Canis lupus familiaris: one gene and its partners. The protein of the gene in region 1 interacts with the protein of each later gene in a pairwise test. Links are inferred from orthologs where the notes say so. Each region holds a gene or a part of one and is shown in the gene's direction. Other genes may lie near its edges.

What was found.
Region 2: the proteins of AKAP9 (region 1) and PKN1 interact in a two-hybrid assay, tested with the Homo sapiens proteins (2 studies listed by BioGRID). The link is inferred for Canis lupus familiaris from reciprocal best matches to the Homo sapiens genes AKAP9 and PKN1.
Region 3: the proteins of AKAP9 (region 1) and C15H1orf94 interact in binary tests that used the Homo sapiens proteins (3 or more experiments, as listed by UniProt). The two-hybrid records come from large-scale screens. The link is inferred for Canis lupus familiaris from reciprocal best matches to the Homo sapiens genes AKAP9 and C1orf94.

The regions. Positions count from the first base shown.
Region 1 is NC_049235.1:17,678,238-17,685,620, forward strand, and holds part of AKAP9 (A-kinase anchor protein 9), read left to right. Parts: intron 1-576; coding exon 577-796; intron 797-1,522; coding exon 1,523-1,673; intron 1,674-2,799; coding exon 2,800-3,468; intron 3,469-3,681; coding exon 3,682-3,890; intron 3,891-4,211; coding exon 4,212-4,317; intron 4,318-6,020; coding exon 6,021-6,203; intron 6,204-7,189; coding exon 7,190-7,383. UniProt on the Homo sapiens protein: Scaffolding protein that assembles several protein kinases and phosphatases on the centrosome and Golgi apparatus. Required to maintain the integrity of the Golgi apparatus. Required for microtubule nucleation at the cis-side of the Golgi apparatus.
Region 2 is NC_049241.1:48,563,257-48,570,639, reverse strand, and holds part of PKN1 (serine/threonine-protein kinase N1), read left to right. Parts: intron 1-1,620; coding exon 1,621-1,730; intron 1,731-1,829; coding exon 1,830-1,973; intron 1,974-3,783; coding exon 3,784-3,859; intron 3,860-3,956; coding exon 3,957-4,098; intron 4,099-4,188; coding exon 4,189-4,282; intron 4,283-7,034; coding exon 7,035-7,114; intron 7,115-7,190; coding exon 7,191-7,266; intron 7,267-7,348; coding exon 7,349-7,383. UniProt on the Homo sapiens protein: PKC-related serine/threonine-protein kinase involved in various processes such as regulation of the intermediate filaments of the actin cytoskeleton, cell migration, tumor cell invasion and transcription regulation.
Region 3 is NC_049236.1:7,726,428-7,733,275, reverse strand, and holds part of C15H1orf94 (uncharacterized protein C1orf94 homolog), read left to right. Parts: intron 1-2,297; coding exon 2,298-2,494; intron 2,495-6,698; coding exon 6,699-6,774; 3' UTR 6,775-6,848.

The DNA.
Region 1 (7,383 bases):
TTTTCATTTATTGTACTTAGAAGTTTAAATATTTTCATTTGTTTTCATTGTAACAGACCTGTAGCAGGGCTTTGGTTGGCGCTTAAAGAATAAACTAATCTAAACTTCTATGACAGTAAAGTTCCTAGGGACTGTGTGTGTAGGGAACTAAACAAAACCAGCAAGCCGTGCTGATCACTCTAGTGGTGGTTACATGCTAAACTCTTGCAAGTGCTTTGTGTGGCTATCAACATTGGCATTTTTTAGTATAAACTATTAAATTCTACATGAGTAAATACACACTTTTATGTATACAACTTATAAACACCTGAATATTCTTTTATTTCACATCTTGTATTGATATATTCTGTTAAACTGTTATCATCCTTATGTATTTATAGTTCTGAAATCTTGACCATTAGTACTATGAGAAAAGTATTCATGATACGTATTAATATTGCCAACTTTGGGACTGTAATCTTTTCACATTTGCTTTGCAGTAATCTCCTAAATTAAAAATCAGTTCTCAATAAAATATTTATAAACCAAATATGAGTTGCCAGGTCATAATTCAAGTATTCATACTTTTCCATTTAGAACTCTTGGAGTATACGATGCAGCAGAAGCAGTCTCAGATGCTGGAGATGCAGGTGGAGCTCAGTAGCGTTAAGGACAGAGCAGCAGAACTGCAGGAACAGCTGAGTTCTGAGAAAATGGTGGTTGCTGAACTGAAGAGTGAACTTGCACAAACTAAACTGGAACTAGAAACAACACTCAAGGCACAACATAAGCACCTGAAGGAATTAGAGGCGTTCAGGTGTGTCAAGCTTCCTTATTATAAGCCTGGATCAGTGAAGGAGTTGGATTAATTTTGTCATAGACGTTGTGCAGGTCTTATAAAAGCATAACATTATACATAATGTGTAAATAACCTGAAACTTTGTTATTTATAGGAAAAACCACAGTGGTGAGGAAAAATTCTAAATTTTTCCAAATAATAAATTCATGACTAGGCATTGGCATATTCCCTGCTGTGAGTTCAGTTCTGTTGAAGACTTACTATTGTATAAGATACATAATTTTGACTTCTGTTTTACCATCAAGCAATTTGATATTTATGATCTCGATAGAATTTGTGGTTCATTTACCTACTACGTACAAAATGTTTTAAAATGCTTGTAAATTGTTGGTGTAAATAATGAGATACTGTGCTTGCCAAGAACACATTACAAGGACAGTCATTCTTTATTTTGAATGATGGTGATACAGTAAAAGACATTTTCAGTAAAAGACAAAGGAAAATTTATTAATGTTATTTGTAAAAATAAATTATTTACAGTGATAAATAATAGTTAATAGTTGCATTACTAGAAACAGTTAATTTGAAGTAAACCATAGTCAAAAATCTTTAATCTGTACATGGCTTATATTTTCCTGTTAGCTAGTTTATAATATGCTTCCACTGTTTAGTGGAAGCTGTCTCTTTCTCTCAATATAAACTTGGTCAAAGTAATTTTATTAAAGTCCATTGTCTCTGATTTAGGTTGGAAGTTAAAGATAAAACTGATGAAGTACATTTGCTTAATGACACATTAGCAAGTGAACAGAAAAAATCCAGAGAGCTCCAGTGGGCTTTGGAGAAAGAAAAAGCCAAACTGGGACGCAATGAAGAGCGGGATAAAGAAGAACTTGAGGTATTGTTACCTTTTTCTTTAAATGCCTGTGGAAAATCCGGAACAACAGAGGAAGAGAGAGTCTGGAGACCTTTCCTCTTTCTAAAACATCAGATTTTAGACATGTTAGATTCCTTATGAGGTCAGTAAGTTGTTCACCACTCTGAAAGACTGTTCTGTTGTCTACAGGAAGTGCTAAGAGTGGGGTGCATTTTTGCTGTGCTACATCTAGGAGTATGTACAGACTATTCTGCTACAATGTGTGTTTTGGGAATTTGAGTTCTGTGCATATACAATTTGATGGTGGGGGGGGGCATCCATTTCAGTTTAATGCAGAGTAGTTTTAGTTCCTGTTTTCCCCTAGGGATAGGGAATAGTGACACCTCTCTGGCAGCAGGAGCCCTTACTACCATATTTTTAAAAATTTAAAATGAGTCCTGTCACTCTGAACTGTCTTCGAAAGAGGCCCACCCTAGCTTTGCACAGCTCACAGCTCAGGGCAGGTTGTACTGCACATACAGTGCCCACTTCCGTCCATACATGGTACTCACTAGCTGTATGCTAAAAAACTACGTAGCTGACATTTCTGCCCTATTACTTTTGTTTTGCTGGGGTTTTTTGAATGTCCATCTTGGTAGCCTCCTAGCATAGTAAGCTCTTTACCTAAAGAACGTGATATCCCCTTGGGTACTGATTACTGTTTTTTATCATTACAAATTTGTGTAAGTTTTGAGTAGTTTGTCCCTAAACCTGCTTTCCCCATAAGCCATATTATTTTCAGTGTGTGACATTGGACAACATGAGGCTTTTCAGGAATTCATATCACAATATATTGGAAATATTTGTATTTTTAAAGGGTATTGTTTTTAGAAAGAATATACACTGCTTCATATTCCTTGACTAAATATGATTAATATTTGGAGAGAAAGTATTATTTAGCTTACCTGTCTTTTGTTTATATTCTTTGATGAAAATCATCTGGCTGTCCAAATAATTATGCTCTAACCACTGAAAATTTAAGTTAATAAACTGGATAATCAGTTCTATTACCAAATACTACCATCTTAATATTAATAAAGTATAATTATACTGACAAAGGACTTTTAATGATATTAACAAATTCTTAAATTCAACTTTCTCCTATAAGGATTTGAAATTTTCACTTGAGGGTCAGAAACAAAGGAATATCCAGCTAAATCTACTGTTGGAGCAACAGAAACAACTACTAAATGAATCACAGGAGAAAATAGAATCACAAAGAGTGCTACATGATGCCCAGTTATCAGAAGAACGAGGTCGAAACTTAGAGCTTCAAGTACTTCTTGAATCTGAGAAAGTTCGAATACAGGAAATGAGTAGTACCCTGGATAGGGAGCGGGAATTGCATGCTCAGCTGCAGAGCAGTGATGATAGTGGGCAGCCTCGGCCTTCCCTACCCTCTGAGGACCTCCTTAAAGAGCTACAGAAACAGCTAGAGGAGAAGCACAGTCGCATAGTAGAATTGTTAAATGAGACTGAGAAATATAAACTGGATTCTTTGCAAACAAGACAGCAGATGGAAAAGGATAGGCAGGTTCACAGGAAGACATTGCAGACAGAACAAGAGGCCAACACTGAAGGACAGAAAAAAATGCATGAGCTCCAGTCCAAAGTAGAAGATCTTCAGCGCCAGCTGGAAGAGAAAAGGCAACAAGTTTATAAGTTAGACCTTGAAGGAAAGCGACTACAGGGAATTATGCAGGAATTCCAGAAGCAAGAACTAGAACGAGAAGAAAAACGAGAAAGTAGAAGAATTCTCTATCAGAATCTTAATGAGGTAAATTAACACTGTATTAAAATGTTTTTTGAGATAGCACTACAGCCCTTTGAACATACACTTCTGCTATTGGATTGAATTACTTAAATAATTATGAACAAATGATTTAAAAAGGAGATTCATAGAAGCTTATTTGGAGTATAAACCATAATTGTGTTGATTCGCTGTTCATTGATACTTACTGCTTTCTCTTTTTCTGTTGAAAATTGCTAGCCAACTACATGGAGTTTAACTAGTGATCGAACTAGAAATTGGGTTCTTCAACAGAAAATAGAAGGAGAGACAAAGGAATCAAGCTATCTTAAACTGATTGAAATGAATGAAGGAGGAACTGGCTGTAATCATGAATTAGAAGTGATCAGACAAAAGCTTCAATGTGTGGCTTCAAAACTACAGCATCTGGCCCAGAAAGCCTCCAATAGGTTAGATTTTTTTTTTTCTCTTGACCCTTAGAGATGGCATTCTTCTACACAAGCTGGGTAAAACCTGCCCCTCAGTAATAGCTAGCCAGCGGGGCAATGTTCATTGAAATTGTAAAGTTACTGCATGTTCACATTAGGAGATGGTATTCTTTAACAAAACTCTACCTATAAACAAATATCTCAGCACCTTAAGTCCTGGAAAGAGAATACTCAGTGTGAGGGAGAAAACAAGTAGAGTGTCACCTGATCTGTCAAGTTTGTGCTAGTCAACACCACTAATTGAGAAAGATCTGTTTTGACTTTTTGTCTTTTTCCTTGAAGACTACAGTTTGAAACAGCAGATGATGAAGACTTCATTTGGGTTCAGGAAAATATTGATGAAATTATTTTACAACTGCAAAAATTAACCGGCCAGCCAGGGGAAGAGGTAAAACTTTTAAAAACTCTTTATAAGATATCAATAACAAAGATTTAATGGAGCTATGTGAATCATTTGAAACTGGCACTGTATTTTCTAAAGAGTTTTAATTTTGTCTTTTAATTTAAATATTAATATTTGTTCTTCCCTAACAGACAATAATGAAAATTTGAGGGGAAATTAATTTTCATTATCATTGTTGAATAACTATAGTGGCATTTTATTGTATTATGATAATTAAGTTTCAAGATTATGATAATCAAGTCTGGCTTATCTCACCACTCTCAAAACCACCCACAGAATGCCACCATTGTCTTCATAGTTAACTAATCTGATGAATCTTTTCATTCCCTGTCTTTTTAATTTTTTTGTAGCATTTGATACTTTTGACCTCTCTCATCTTAAAAACCTCCTTTTTTTACCTTTTGTGACAGTATATTCTCAGTATATTTTGTGACCGTATATTCTCAGTATATTTCTTCCATTTCTTTCATCAGTCACCTTCATGAATTCCTCTTCCTCCTATCCTGATCCATTTTTTTTCCTCTGTGAAAGCTCATTTATTCCCACAGCCTGAGTTCTCAGTAGACGTATTTATTGAACAAATACTTACATAAGGCATGTGTTATGTGCCAGTTACTACCCTGGGTTTTGGGCTACAATGAATAAATGTGATAACGATCTGACCACTTAGATCTCTATCTTCTAGTGGTCTGTGGTTCTAGTCTATACCTCTATCCTGTGATCCAGATTTATATTTTCCATTAGTTACAGGAACTCTTTCTCTGGGGAAATGCGCCTCATAGTGACCCCTTAGGAACCTCACAGGCACATTCTAAACTGAGCATCTTCTTTTTTTCCTCCTTCTGTCCCCAACCCATGTTTCTGGTCCTGATAGAGCCCACTTTGGGAATTTGGAAGTCACCCTAGACTACCTTCCTTCACTCTCACTTGTGTATCCTAGTAGTAATGAAGTCCTGTGCTTTTACTTCCTAAATATCCCACGTGCCCTTAGTCATTGCCTTTATTCAGGCTTCCAGTATTTCTCACCTAAACTATTGTAATGACTTCCTGATGTGTCCACCTGACACCAGGATCTATCTTCCCTAATTTACTGTACTTCGCATGCTGCTAGCAAAGGAATTTTTTTTAAGATTTTATTTATTTATTTATTTGAGAGAGCATGAGCAGGAGGTGGGCAGAGGGAGAGGGAGAGGGAGAAGCAGACTCTCTACTGAGCAGGGAGCCTGACACAGGCTCGATCCCAGGACTCTGGAATCATGACCCAACCCAAAGGCAGATGCTTAACTGACTGGGCCACTCATGTGCCCCCAAAGGAATATTTTAAGACATAAATTTTGTTTGTAGCACACTCTGAAAGCCTTTAGGGCTCTCTGCTGCCTCCATTTAGGTCTATTATCTATAAAGTGAAGGCAGCCTTTACTCTAACGTAACCAAGCAACCTGTAGCTCCTGAAAAGCAACACACTCTCCAACAAAACCCTTGTGCCTTTACACATGCTATTCCTTCTGCTTAATATGCTCTTCCCTATCTTCTTTCCTACCTATGAAATGCTTCCTAGTTATTTAAGACTCAGTTCAAGCACCACTTCATCATGAAATCTGGTGTTCTCAGCGTCTGCTCACATGTTGATGTGCATTGTTCATAAACATTTGTGCTTACACGACCTTAGTACCATTTTCTCTTTCTAGCCTGGTTTAGTGTCCCCTGGTACTTCTTGTGGCTCGTTGACTGAAAGACTGCTAAGACAAAATGCTGAGCTGACAGGACATATCAGCCAACTGACAGAAGAAAAGAATGATTTGAGAAATACAGTTATGAAGCTAGAAGAACAAATCAGGCGGTATCGACAGATAGGAGCTGGCAGAGATTATGTACGTCTGATTTTAGTGTGACCATGTTAGAAATATTGCTGAGTTACAATTTCTACTCTCTAGTTTCAATTTTTAACTCTAATATAAAAATATTAGATATCTGATTCTTAGTAAGATCATTGAAAAATGGTAGAGAGATGACAATAATAATGATAATAATAATAATAGATATCATTTATTGGGGGCCTTCTCTGGGCCAGATCCTGGGTTCTGTACATTCAGAATCTTTAATCCACATTCAGTCTTGCACATGAGAAAACTGAAGTCTGTAGTCCAATCAAGAACTGCTTATCTCCAAAGCCAGATACTTTGCTACCTAGGAACCACCAGTGGGTCCATGTTAAGAAATGTTCAAATGTGAATTCTGACTGTTCCTCATCAGTTAATTATCAGTTATTATGTTTGTGACTCAAGTGAAAGATGCCATTAAATTATTTATTTCAGTCTAATAAACCACTCTAGCAGTTTATTTAAAATTTTTTCCAGTTAAAAACTACAAAATAAATTGCTAGCTTCTGTAATATAAAGATAGGAATATAATATAAAGATAGAAAGGACTCCTGAGACAAATACAGGATAACACATCCACAGAGCTTCTGCATGGATCCACTTCCCTGTGTATAGCCGGGGATTTTTTTCCGCACTCCCCCAAGGCGCTGTTTCAGGGTTAGGCTCTACATTTGAACCCAGATGGTCGGTCTATTTATTAAGTCTCTAGACTTTATATTTCAAAGCTCTGCAAAAATCTAAGCACTGTCTTTTGGGTGAGGCTTCCATAAAGATTTTGTTTTAAAATTAATCTACTAAGCAAAGGACCATATACTTAATGTATATTCTTTACTATCAATTGAGATCGCTGTTGAACTCTCCCTCTCTGAGATTGGAAAGCTGAGATCCCATAGGGGATACCTTTAATGTGTTTAATTTAGATTTTTCTTCAGAGACTTATTCCTAAAACTCATGTAAGTGGGCTCTCGTTTCTGCAGTCTTCCAGGTTTTCATTCAGTGGTGGTGCCAGCATTGAAGCCATCATTGCTTCTGAAAAAGAAATCTGGAACAGAGAAAAGTTGACTCTCCAAAAATCCTTGAAAAGAGCAGAAGCTGAAGTGTATAAACTGAAAGCTGAACTAAGAAATGAAACTTTACTTCACAACCTGAGCCCTGATTCAGAGCATGCTGC
Region 2 (7,383 bases), on another chromosome or scaffold:
TGGAGGAGTGAGATGCAGTGGGGATCTTAGGGTGTCACACACTTGTAACACTTTAAAAAACTGATACATTACAGTCATTAGGATGGATTCTGTTAAGAAAAAAAAAAAAAGTGTTAGGGAGATAGTAGAGAAATTAGAATCCTCTGCAGTGCTGTTGGGAACATAAAGTCCTTCAGCCACTGTGAAAAAACTAAACATGGAATTACTATGTGATCAGTAGTCCCACTTCTGAGTGTATATACAAAAGAGTTTAAAGAAGGGACTCAAGTTGATAGTTGGACACTCATGTCCATAGCAGCATTATTCACAATGGCCAAAATGTAGCAGCAACACAAGTGTCCATTGACAGACAAATGGCTAAACCAAATGTGGTATGTGTGTGCGGTGGAGTAGGTAGTATTCAACCTTAAAAAGGAAGGGCGTTCTGACACAGGCTACCCCACAGATGAAGCTGAGGACATCACCCTAAAGGAAATAAGCCGGTCACAAAAAGACAAGGACTGTATTATTCCACTTCTATAAGGTACCTAGAGTAGTCTAATTCATAGAAATGGAAGAAGGATGGTTGCCAGTAGTTGGGTTGGAGGGGAGAAGAGAACTTTTGTTTAATGGGGACAGTTTCAGTTGAGGAAGATGAAAAAAGTTCTGGACATGGATGGTGGTGTAGTTGTACAACAGTGTGAACTGTAAACTTGAAAACGATTACAGTGATAAATTTTATGTTATATGAATTTTACCACTTTTTAAAAAATCTGATGTATAGGAAAAAGTATGTATAAAAGAGGAATAACAATGGAACAAACACCCACGTTACCACCACCCAGGTCAAGAAATAGAACTCTCTAGAAACCCCCTTGCCCCTCCTCCCCTTTCTAGTCCCTTTCCCTGTCCAGAGGTAGCTACTCCCCTGACGCATTGTTATCATTTCCCTGCTTTTCTTCGTAGTTTTAGCATCAATGTACACATCTCAAAACAACAGAGTTTAATTTTGCCTGGTGTTTGAACTTTACATACGTGGAATCATACAGAATGTATTCCATGGTAATGGCTTCTTCCATTTAACATAGTTTGGGAAGTTTATCCATGTCGTTGCATGAAGCTATAGTCCATTCATTTATTTTAACTCCTGTTTATTTATTTTTATATTTTTTTAACTCCTGTTTAATAGCCCATTAGACTATTAGACTGAGCCATATCAATTGTGGGGGCCTTTTAAAGTAAAATATAGTAATTGTTGAATATCAGTTAATAAGGCTATGTTATAGCTTATATATTCTATTTATAGATATTTCTAGTTTGGGTCCCTTATATACGCATATATGGATATATATGTATATATGCATCTCCCCATTATACCTGCATGCATTTTTCCAGGGTAAGTTCTTAGGAGTATATTGCTAGAAGTTGCATATAAAGCGAAAGTGAATTTGGATCTCTACCTCACATCATACACAGAAATCAACTGGAAGTTGATTAAACGCCTTGATGTGAAAGCTTTGTGAGGGTAGCGTAGCAGAATGTGATGGGTGGAAGGGAGGATTTCTTTACTAAGATATGGGCCAAGATGCCTCCCCCCAACTCCAAACATTTCCCGACATCCTCCTCCACCCCTCATTCCAGGCGAGGTTAGCACGGTGCTCAAGCTGGATAACACGGTGGTGGGGCAGACATCCTGGAAGCCATGTGGCCCCAGCGCCTGGGACCAGAGCTTCACCCTGGAGCTGGAAAGGGTGAGCTAAGTTGGGGGATGGCAGGGCCTGGATCCAGGAGGAGGATCCAAATCCTCCTTGGGCAGTGCCAAATGATGGCACCCGTTCCTCTCCCTCCAGGCTCGGGAACTGGAGTTGGCCGTGTTCTGGCGGGACCAACGGGGCCTTTGTGCCCTCAAATTCCTGAAGTTGGAGGATTTCTTGGACAATGAGAGGCATGAGGTGCAGCTGGACATGGAGCCCCAGGGCTGCCTGGTGGCCGAGGTACAGCCCGACCCCTGACCCTATGAAAATACTTCTTGCATCTGCCTACTCGCGGTTTTCTAGAAAGGGAAGATATATGTGTTGGATTGGTCTCTGAACCTTGATAGAGAAATACATATAATTAGTTACTTCAGTGACACAACTTAAGCTGGGATTGGTTTTGTTTTAAGGGAAGAAATTAAGAAAAAAGAAAAGAAAAGAAAAGAAATTGCAAAATTTCACCAAGCCAAAAAAGAAAAGAAAAACCTGGTGGCACATCAAGGAGATTGCTGTCAGAGCCACAGTCGAGTAGAGAGAAATTCCTTCTACAGTGGTGTTAGGATTAAAGTCTAAATTGAGGTGTCCTGCATTTGGCACTAGAGACAAGTGTGCCATAGTGGGCTGGATCATTCTTGGTTGTCCTGTAGGGTGCTGAGCAGCATCCCCAGTTTGCACCCAGAGGGAGCCAGCACCACCCTCCCTCCAAGTTGTGACAATCAAAACGGTCTCTAGACATTGCCCTGTCCCCTGGTTGAGAGCCCATGTTCTAAATAACATTCCTAGCTGATCCCTTGTGGTGTGAGCCAAGCCCTGTCCTACTTGCTTTGCTGGCATTAACTTGTTAATCCTTACAATGACCCACTTCCACCCAACCCGAATCAGGAGGGATCGATTCAGGAGGGATCGTCATTAGTCACCTCTGACGGGGGAGGAAACAGAGGCACAGAGTAGGAAAGCCATTGGCCCCCTCATTCAGTCAAAATTTTCCTCAAAAATTCTTTAAGTGTGCCCCTAACACATACGTGTGCCCTGTTACATATCCACATCTCCATGTGGGAGTTCTGACATGATCTCATAATCGAGCCCCACTGAAGAAAAAGAGCAGAAGGGCCGGGCAGGGCAGTGACATTGCTCTTCCATTAGGAAGACCGGCCAGTACCAAGCAGGAATGGTGGGGGTGGTAGGGGAAGGGGGCAAATTCTGAGGCAAGCCTGCTGGCCCTCAACGTTCACTTGTAGCATTCTGTTCTATTTTTCCGCCTCCCCCAGAGTGCCAGTCAATAGAACTTTCTAGAGTTCTGTTGTCGATGAGCCTACAATAGTTGCATTCTGTTGTAGATGGGAATGTTGTATATGTCCACCGTCCAACATAGCAGCCGCCAGCCACTTAGAGCATGGCTAGTGTGACCAGGGACAGGGAACTAAAGTTTTCATGTTACTTAAAATTTTACTGAATTTAAATAGCCTTACGTGGCTAGTGGCGAGCGTATCAGACACACATAAAGTCACACAGTTCTGTGACTTTGGCGCCTTCTAGAAGATGCTTCGGAGTTGGGAGAATGCAGCTAGACTAGTGGCTTCCCCATACCAGCTGGAGGGCTTGTTGAAACACAGGTTGCTGAACCCCACACTTGTATTTCTGACTCCGTGTGTCCAGGCAGGGGCCTGGGTATCTGCATTTCTGGCAAGGCCCCAGGTGCTGCTGCTGGTCCAGGGCCCCACTTGGGGAATCATGACCCTAAATGATGTAGGACCTTGCTGGAGTTGCATGTACCTCTTGTTGGGTCAGGACCCCCCACCCCACCCCTAGAGGAGGTCTTGGTTGCCTGCTTCTTGACTTTCTAAGATGGCACTTCAGGAGGTGGCCCTACCAGGCACTGGATTGGTTTTCTAACCCCTTAATAAGTTACAACATCTTCATACTCTGTTTGGATGTGGAGCCACAATAATTGGAACCCGCAAAACATAAGGGTGTGCCTATCTACGCTCTCAGGGCTTCCCCACCACCTAGAGCTGGGAGTGAGTTCTTATCCACTGGCCCTTCTCTCCAGGTTACCTTCCGCAACCCTGTCATTGAGAGGATACCCCGGCTCCGAAGGCAGAAGAAAATTTTCTCCAAGCAGCAAGGTGAGGTAGTGGTCAAGGTAGGGAAGAAGCCAGGGGTCCCAGGAGTATCATGAAGGGTGACCCCCATCCCCTGTACCCCCCTCCACCCCTCCCCCAGGGAAAGCATTTCAGCGCGCTAGGCAGATGAACATTGATGTTGCCACCTGGGTGCGGCTGCTTCGAAGGCTCATCCCCAATGCCACGGCCACAAGCACCTTCAGCCCTGGGGCTTCTCCAGGCCCCGAGGTCCGCTCCACAGGGTAAGGAGGATGCTCTCTGAAGTCTAGGCTGTCCCTGGTTGCATGCCGGGGTGCTTGGTCCCACACACACCCTCCTCTCTTGGTCTGCAGTGATATATCTGTGGAGAAGCTGAACCTTGGGACTGCCTTGGATAGCTTACCCCAGAAGAGTCCTCTGGGTCCTCCTTCCAGCCCATCAAGCCTGGTGAGTGTTCCACTCCTTTCCCCCCACACCTGGATCTTCCAGGCTTCTCTACCCACTCAAGACCCAGACACCACCAGGAATTTCCCTGGGTCCCATATCTCTGCTAGAAGCAGGTGGTCGCATTCTCTATCCTGAATAAAAACATGATCTCAGGAGCCAGGCCACCTGGGTCCATGTTCCTGCAGTGTGACCCACGGCAAGCTGCTTCAACTTGCTGTGCTCTGTGCACTGGCCTGTAAAACAAGCATGTGTAAAACTCACTTCGAGGATAGAAGTCAGGATGGTGGTTTTCTCGGGGTGGGGTGGGGGGGTATCATTGATAGGAGGGAGATACGAGGGAGCCTGTTGGGGTCATGGCCATGTTGTGCCTCTTATTTATTTATTTATTTATTTTTAAATATTTTATTTATTCATGAGAGACCCACACAAAGAGGCAGAGACATAGGCAGAGGGAGAAGCAGGCTCCCTGTGGGGAGCCCGGTGCAGGACTCAATCCCAGGACACCAGGATCATGCCCTGAGCCAAAGGCAGACGCTCAACCACTGAGCCACCTAGGTGTCCTTATGTTGTGCCTCTTAATGTAGGTCAGAGATCAGCACGCCTTTTCCATAAAGGGTCATGGAGCCGATATTTTCGGCTTTGTGGGCCAGACTGTTTTGGTCACAGTGACTCAACGCCCTGGATACAGGGCGATCTCACATCCCTGAGATCATTGTAGAAAAAAGCTGTAGGGGATACATACATACACCAGTGGGCATGGCTGTGTTCTGGTTAAAGCTTTATGGATGGACACTGAACTTTATTTATTTATTTTTTAAAGATTTTATTTATTTATTCATGAGAGATGCAGTGAGAGAGGGAGAGGCAGAGGGAGAAGCAGGCTCCATGCAGGGAGCGTGATGTGGGATTGAATCCCGGGATTCCAGGATCACGCCCTGGGCTGAAGTGAAGGCAGGTGCCAAACCACTGAGCCACCCAGGGATCTCCACTGAACTTGGAATGTCCTATCACTTTCTCAGATCACAAAATATTACTCTCCTTTTGATTTTTCCCCCCAATCCCTTAAAAATGTAAAAGCTATTCTCGGCTCACGTACTGTACCAAACCTCATTTACCCACCCCCGCTGCGTGCAATGCATACCCAGATGGACATGTTTATAAGAGCAGGCCCCTTGGCCCAGCTCACATTTTATGCATTTTATACCTCATTTGAAAAAATAGGAAAAAAGAAGCAGGGGGGAAGCCTGGGTGTCTCAGCAGCTGGGCATCTGCCTTCAGCTCAAGGCATGATCCCAAGTCTGGGGATCGAGTCCCACATTGGGCTCCCTGAGGGGAGCCTGTTTCTCCCTGTGTCTATATCTCTGCCTCTCTCTGTGTCTCTCATGAATAAATAAATAAAAATCTTTAAAAAAATGATAGTATATGCTTCTGTATTTTATTTACAATAATATAATGAGATAGGTCATCAGGTGAGTTTGGCAAAACAAAATCCAAAAGTTTAATACCATCAAATGCCAGGCAGGGCACAGGGAGACAGGCATGTAGATTGTTGCATCTCCTTAGGAGGGCATAGCTGGTTGCCCTAAAAATGGACATCGTCTTGACCCAGGAGTTCCAATCCTGGACGCTCACACATGTGCGCATCCAGAAAGTTCACTGCAGCGGCTTTGTGTGGGCAAAAGTGGAAACGGCAACGTCCATCCATAGGAGAGCCAGTGCTAAGTAAATGACGAGGTGGGCTGTGACAAATGAAGCTGGTCTCCCAGTGCTGGGACAGAGTGGTTTCCATAACAGGTTGTCCAGTAGGGGAGGCAAGATTAGAATATTGTCAATAGCGGAAACAAGTGAAATGGAGCCTCTCCCATCACTTTTACTTGTGTGGGTATAGAATATGTTTAGAAAGGTACTCAGGAAATCATTGATGGTGGCTGGTTCTGGGGAGGGTGGCTGGGGCACGAGAGGCCTGTCTTTCCCACCAGCCACCTACTTGTACTGATTGCATTTCTAGAACTGTGTCTGTAGTAGATGATGATGAACCAGTCGTAATATGTTCCCATTCACCATGTATTTTTTTCTAAAATTTTATTTATTTACTGGGGGGGGGGTGCAGAGGAAGGGGGAGGGAGAGAGAGGAGACTCCCTTCTGGGCGCGGAGCTGGATACAGGGCGATCTCACATCCCTGAGATCACAACCTGAGCCGAAACCAAGAGTTGGACACTTAACTGACTGAGCCACCCAGTCCCCCCCACCCTCTTCCATTTACAATATGAATTTTGACTCTTTTCAAAGTTACATGCCCATGTGGTATAAAGAATTAAGTAGCTTTTAGGGCAAATACCCATAAAGGAAATATGTAGGTAAATGGTAAAATATAGCATGAAAAAAAAAGCAGTGAAAGGGGACAGGGAGTATGTGTGGGTATGGCAGGGAGTGGGGGGTCCGTTAGTTACTTAATATGATGGTCAGCTGACCACCTGTGAAGGCGACATCTGCATGAATGGCCTGAAGGAGGTAAGGGAGGAGCCGTGCAGATGTCGGGGTGGGGGGATTCCAGGTAGAGGGAATAGCCTATGCAAAGGCCCTGGGCTGGAAACGTGCTTGGTGTGTTCAGGGCGTGGGGGGAGGGATAGCGTGCCTGGAGGGCAGTGAGCAAGAGGGCAAGTGGAAGGAGAAGTGAGGTCAGAGAGGTGACGGGAGCCTCGGTGGCTATTGTGGTTATGGGTGCCTCTGACTTCCCTCTCTCTGCCACAGAGTTCCCCGATCCAGGAAACTACCACCACCCCGGAGCCGCCTTCAGAGACCCAGGAGACCCCAGGCCCCGCCCTGAGCAGGTGACACCCCTCCCCTGCTCACCACCCACCACCCCTGCCTGCTGTCCTTGTCCCCACCAGTGTCCTCTCTCCACAGCCCTCTGAAGAAGTCGCCCCTGACCCTCGAGGATTTCAAATTCCTGGCGGTGCTGGGCCGGGGTCACTTTGGAAAGGTGAGGCAGGGGGCAAGGAGTTAGGGGAACAGGGAGTTCCCGGGCTGACCATTAAGGTCATCGCTGCCCTTTGTGGTTCCAGGTGCTGCTCTCTGAATTCCGGCCCAGCGGAGAGCT
Region 3 (6,848 bases), on another chromosome or scaffold:
GCATGTGGGCCCCAAGCAGCGCCCGGGCCGGAAGCGCAGTAAAAATCAAATTACTGGCTGGTTCATCTGCAACTGAGACTTGATCGCACGCGCGTCTTGTCTGTGGGCTGCTCGGCCGAGTGCCCCACCCCCCCCACGTCCAGGAGTGGACTCCAGCACGGAAACTGCAGGATGGGGGCGGCCTCGGCCTCGGGTCCGGCTGCAGGGCCCCAGCCAGCGTGGCTCCACCGCGGGTGGACAGACCCCCACACTCAGACTCACCGTCTGGGGGCCTCCTCCTGCCCGGCAGGGAGCAAACCGCACCTCTGACCTGAGCTGTGTTGGAATGTTCCAGAAAGCAGAGAAGAGCCCGGAGGCCCGGGGCTGCTCGTGTCGCAGTGAGGGCTCTGCGTCCTCGGGGAGTGCGGAGCTGAGGCCCAGCCTGGCCCTGGGAGCCTCAGCAGTCACCCCTACCCGGCCCACAGAGAGTGACCCCGGCTCGGGGAGAGGGGGGCCCGACGGCCCCATGCAAGTGCCCGCGTCTGTCTGAGAAAGCGCTGGAGGCCCTTGGTTCCAAACAGAGACAAACCACCCTGGAGAGGCGGCTCTGTCGCCGGTTCCCGCAGGGTCCTTCCGGCCGAATCTATCTACACACACTTTACACGAATGTAGCTTTCCGGGCATGTGGCTCTGTCACTGCCGTTGCCGGCGAAGCGCATCCTGGAGACGATTCCAGAGCCGTGCATGCTGCATCACGGGGTTCACCCGCTGTGTGCGGTTGGGGACACGTCCCCCAGGATGCCCGCGGGAGCCCCCGGGCATCCCCCTGCGCGGTCCTCGGACCATCCCACCTCCCAGGAGACCCGGGGGGGCCTCCCTGCCCGTCCGCCAAGGCACCCGTCCCCGGGGGGGGCCCGTCCTGGCCTCTCTCTGTGAGCTCTTGGCTCTTTGTCATGGTCCGCGCGTCATCTTGGGCGTTTGGGGGCCCACGTCCAGCATCCGCGAGTCCTACCTGCAGCCTGGGGTAGGAGGGGGCTCAGCGGGAGCAATCGCACGGGCCCCGGGCCCGCGTGGGCCTTAGGGGTCCGACTGCAAGTCACGCCCGTGGAGCCCATGGAGCCCGTGGAGCGCTTACCTGCAAGGTCCGAGCTCCTGAGCCGCCTCCTCCGTCTCTGGCTCGTGCTCCCGCCGCCCAAGCTCCGGGGCTGGAAGGAGAGAAGCCGCACGGGCCTGGCACGGCCTGAGCCCTCCAGAAGCCCCAGCCTTTGCGATCTTTTTTTTTTTTTTTTTTTTTTTTAAATTAGAGAAGGATCCGCAGGGTGAGAGAGGGCTGTCACTGTGCTGGGTCCCCGGGCGGCTTGGACACCGGACTCTTGCTTTTAAAGACGACGTCCAGAAGTTTCCCTCGCTTTGACTGCAGCTCCCTTCAGCGTGCGGGAGGACGGATGTCACCCCGTACAGGAGAGGGTCTTCTGACGTTTGTAGAATACAGTGCCTGCAAAGTAACGAGCTCCCCATCATTGCAGGGATTCAAGCGGACCCTGAGTGGCCTCTTCTTTGCCCTCTCCCCTCCTTTTTTCTCGTGCTCCTTCATTTAACGCATGTTTATGGAGCAGCTTATTTGGCCCAGCCCCGTCCCAGGGCCGAGAAGACGACGCTCGATGAGACCGCCGGGGCCCCGGCTCTTGGTGGAGGTCGGATCCGGGGGGCGGGGGGCGGGGGCTGAGCTCTATGGAGCCTGGATCCCGCTGTACGACGCTGCCGCTGGCCCCAGGCGGCCACCTCAACCCACACCGGTTACCGTGAGCGTGCACCTTCAGCTCCTCGCCCTTTGCGGCAGCCGCAGCTCAAGTGGCCGCAAGTCTCCGCTGGTGGGTGGTGGCCCAAGTACCGGGGGGCTGGGTCGAAGCCGGGGCTGTAGAAATCTCAACAGACCTTTTTTTTTTTTTTTTTTTTTTTAGGTAAAAATGAATGAGGGCTCTCAGGGGCAGCTATTGGCAGGGGATGGGGTGGGGAGGGCAGCGCAGAGAACGGAAATAAAGTCCATTTGCTGTTCATCAGGCTGCTGTCGGCCAACTCGGTGTCCGTGCCGCGGAGGGAGCGTTCGCCCTCCTGCCAACGGGGAAACTGAGGCCCGGGTGACCTGGGCACCTTGGCAGCCAGGCGCAGGGGGGAGGCTCGGGCTTCGCCACAGTCCTCGCAGGGCCTCCCGCACGCCCGCCGCTCCGGGGTTAAGGCTGGGGGGTCCGAGCGAGGCCCCGGAGGTTCGGAAGCAGCGGGCTCTGGTGGACGCGGCCCCTCTCGTCTGTGACCTGCAGGTGACGCCGTACAGCCCACAGCAGGTGGGACAGCAGGTGTTCCGCTCTTCCTACGCCCCCCTGCTGAGCTACATCCCCTTCGTCCAGCCCGGCTACCCGCACCCTCAGAGGACACCTCCAAAGCTGTGCAGCCATCCCCGCGACCCTTCCCCGATGGCGGGAGACGGGCCACAGTACGTGGTCCCCCAGGCGTACGGGTGAGTCCTCAGCCCCCTCCTCGGGTGCACCTCGCTCGCGGGAAGCTACAGGGCCGGGAGGGGAGCTGGTTCTCGCGTTGCAGGGTCCTGGGGAGGGAGGGGCCCTGGCCTGTCCCCAGCCATGGGTGCCGGAGGGAGCTGGTGCGCAGGCCAGGCTGCTCAGGGCCACGGGCCCAGGGGATCCTAGCCACGCGGCCGTGGACGTGGGCACTCGGCCTGCAGCGGGGCCGGCAGTGGAGCAGGACCCATCTGCTGAGGCCCCGAGGCCCGTTTGCTGGGCTCCCTGCGTCGCGGGGGACCCTGAGCTCCCTCGCAGGCCAGTCGCCCCCACATCCTGCGGAGGGTGTAGCAGGCCCAGCAGCGGGGGCAGGGCTTCGCGGGTGATGCAAACCTCGACACACACTTTCCACGACGGCTGTTGTCCTAAATGAAAGGCCGGCGGTCGCCCACTCGCACCTGCAAACCTTCAGCTCATATTTGAGGCCGGGAGGAGGGCGGGACCTGGGGTCCCCCTGGGGACCCCAGTCCCCACACACCCTGGGGAGGCGTGTCTAATCTTGGGAAACTCCGCTGCCGGGATTAGGGCCGTTGGTCCCCAGCCTTCCACGTCCCCGCACAGACCCCCGCTGTGGTGCCCCCCAGGCACCCCCAGACCCTCACCCTCTCAGTCCTGCGTCTTGTAAAAGGACGATACGTTAGCGAGAGGTTTCTGTGGTCAGGATGCTTGGGAAGAGCTGAGGGAAACACAGGTGAATGGGTTTCTTACCCATCGGGGCCCTCAGATGGCTTCATTGCTGAAGTGTCTGGGAAATGTTCCTGGGGTGGGGTCGGTGGCCTCACCTGAGCCCCAAATCCACAGCCCATTTTCTTTCTCCTTTTCTCTTTTTCCTCCCTCCTTCCTCCCTCCCCATCTTTTCTGCTTCTCCTACCGCAGACGAGGGTGCATGTCATCTGCACCCCCTGCCCCCCAAGCTCTGTGTCGGGTCCTGTGGTTGATGGGGATGTAGCCTGCAGGGAACCCACAGCGGACTAGGACGAGGTTCCTCCCTTCAGAGACTGAGTGGCTGAGATGTGGGGAGCACCCCGGGGCCCGGGGCGGTGGCATGACCCGCTGTTTGGGGGGGGGGGTGGACCTGCGAGGCCCCAGGGAGCAGCCGTGGGAGGAGGGGAGGGGGGTGCAGCCCTCACAGGGGGGTGCAGCCCTCACACGGATGGACACAAGCATGAGGCTGGGGCAGCAGAGGTGTGTGCTTGAAGTATTTGATTTACCCCTAAAAAGGTGGAAAATAGGATTAGAAAGGGAGGTTGGGTTTGGGTGTTAAACGCTCTGACTGGGAGGCCCGGGGCCTGCAGCCTGGTGCACCCTGGGTGGCGCAGCGGTTTAGCGCCTGCCTTTGGCCCAGGGCGCGATCCTGGAAACCTGGGATCGAATCTCACGTCGGGCTCCCGGTGCATGGAGCCTGCTTCTCCCTCTGCCTATGTCTCTGCCTCTCTCTCTCTCTCTCCCCCATCCTCTCTCTCTGTGTGACTATCATAAATAAATAAAAATTTAATAAATAAAAATTTAAAAAAAAAAAAAAAAAAGCACCACCGCGGGGAAGGAGGGGAGGAGGGCCCCCACCCGGGCCCTGGCTGCGGGCAGAGATGCTGGGCGCTGGAGGATGGTGCCATGGGGGAGGCATAGTCGGCAGGGTGGGCGGTGGCCGAAGGGGCTGGGGACGCCAGGGAAGGGGCGCGGCGCAGGCCGCATGCTCCCCCAAGAGCATGACTGGTCGTGGGCAGCGCTTCCTGGAGGGAAGGAAGGAGCGAGGCAAAAGGCCTTCTTGGTCTCCTTCACGGGGAGCAATAAGGCAGCAGGAAAGGAAGGCAGGGGCCGGGGGAGGACGGAGAATGAGGGAGGGCCACCTCCGGAGCTGGGTCTGAATGAAGCGACAGGTACATAGGGGAGCTGTGCGTCGGGGTAGTGGCCCCGAGGTGGGAGGTGGGCCTGCAGCCGGAGCCCTGGGGGGGGGAGGAGGGGGAGTGGCCGCGGGAGCAGGGGCAGCAGGGCCTGGGGGGCACGGCCAGGCGTCGGGTCAGGCCCTGGGGAGCTGGTGAAACTTCCCCGGGTGGGGGTGAGGTGGCCTGCACCGAGTCTGCACCAGGAGCGGGGCTCAGGCAGGGGTGCAGGCCTACCCCGCTGGGCTGCTGTAGGGGGGCGGGGCATGGGGGGCAGAGGAGGAGGCATTTCCTGGAGGATGTGGGGGGAGCAGGGCTGGGGGAACCACTCGAGGCCATTGGGGGGACGGGGGATGAGGGCGTCGGGGATGGCGTGGCTGGGGGACGGGCAGGGGCAGGGGAGAGGCCGGTGGGAGGAGCAGGGCTCCGGGGATGAGGCGGCCCCCCTACCCCTCCTGGCCTCTCTCTGTGAGCTCTTGGCTCTTTGTCATGGTCCAACACCCCCTACCCCCGCTTCCATACCCCCTTTGCCCCCCTATTCCCTCCTCCCCCACTCCCTCCAGCTCCTCCTCTCCCACCCCTCCCCCTCCTCCTCTGCTCCCCCCCCCCCCCCCCCCCCCCCCCCGCTCCTCCTGTCCTCTTCCCTCCCTTGCCTCTCCCCCGCCCCCTCACCCCCTCCCTTCCCACTCACCTTCCCCCCTCCCTGCCCCATCCATTACCATGCCCTTACCTCCCACACATAACAAGCTCGAGGGTGAAAGGAGCACAGGTCCTAGTGGCACAGGCAGTGCCAGCGGGGAGGCTGCTGCCGGCAACCATGCCCCAGGCCAGGGCGCTGGTGCTCTTCCTCCAGGAAGCCTTCCCTGATGCCCCTCGCCCCCAGGACCCCCGGCTCCCTCTGACACTCTGGCGAGTGTCGTGTGCAGACCAGGCCCCGGGCAGGTGAGCCCCCCAGAGCATCCCCCACCCCCCCGCCGGGTGGCCTGGCTGCGCGGGGACGTGGCATCAGCGGTCAGGCGTGTCCCCAGTGATTCATTACCGATGGTTATTAGGCTGAGGTGCGGGTTCCAGTTTTTGTTTCATAAACCAGCACAGAATCCGGGGCGTCCTGGCCCGACCTGAGTCTCCATCAGTTCCTTTGAGTGTGAGTTTGGGGCAGAGGGAGGAAGGGCTGGGGGTGAGGAGGGGGGCGCCAGCAGAGGCCCCTCCTCGTGCCAGGTCCTGGGCTGCACACCAGGCGGATATCGTCCCCGCTCTCTTGGGATTTACTTAGTGAAAAGCGAATCAAACTAACCCGAAGCCCAGCTTGCCCCAGCCCCTCAGGGCGCCGGTTTGTTCCCATCGCTTCTTCCCTCCCTCACCCTCTCTCCCCCCCCCCCCCCTTTTTTTTCTTTTTTCTTTCATTAATTCGCGATTGTCTCCTGCTCTGAGCACCAGCCGCAGGAAGGCCCGAGAACCCCGGGGTCAGACTCCGTGTGGCCGGGTGCCCTGCTGCGGTGTGTACGGAGCCCGGCTCCCCTGTGGACGGGACAGGACGAAATTGCTGTAGGGCCGTGCGAGTAGCTGGTCCCATGGGGCAAGGTCAGGCCGAGTCACGGGGGAGCTGCCGTTGGGGCCCCCATGAGGCGTGAGCAGCCCTGGAGCCCAGGCAGAGTGGGGGTGGGCAGGTGTCATCTTTCCCCGCGGGAAGGTGCGCCTCTCAAATGCCTTCCCTGGGGGGCCTGGCAGGGGTCAGGGTGCTTGGGCTCAGGTGCTAAAATAGGGAAACGGGTTCAGCTTAGCACCCATAAGGGGACAGGCAGCCCCGGGACCGTGCAGACTCTGGGGCTCACCCTGGGACCCGACCCTGAGTCCCGTGATGCTGGGGACCCCCTGGGGGACACACGTGTCTTCCCGGGCAGGTCGAAGGGCTGGCGAGGTGCTCAGGTGCAGACAGGCCCCCTGTTGTGCGGTCCTGGAGATGGGGACAGCGCTGGGCCCAAGGAGGCAGTCCCTGCAGCCCGCTAGGCCCTCTCGGATCTAAGGAAGTGGCCTTGGAAGCTCTTAACTGTCCTCCAGTTGTATCCTTACAGTATTTTATTTTCCCAGAGCCAAAGCTTTTTTTTTTTTTTTTTTTTTTTTTTTTTTAATGATGCTGAGCATTTAGCCTCCAAGCCTGTCACAGCCTTCCCGGTCCCCGACAGCCATAAGACAACGCACTTCTTCTCCCAATATCTCCGCCAACCCCAGGAGTCCCGTCATGAGGTCCGTCTTCTCTCTCTTCCAGGTTCGGCTCGACGGCTGGCGGGCCCCTGGTGAACAGCCCCTATTTTTCCTCTGGTGGGAATGGCATAAACTTTTAGACGATCTTCTCTCCTCCCTCCTCTTACCTTAGCCCTCAGATCGGGGCTGAGGGCTCTGGAACTCCGGGTTCTGT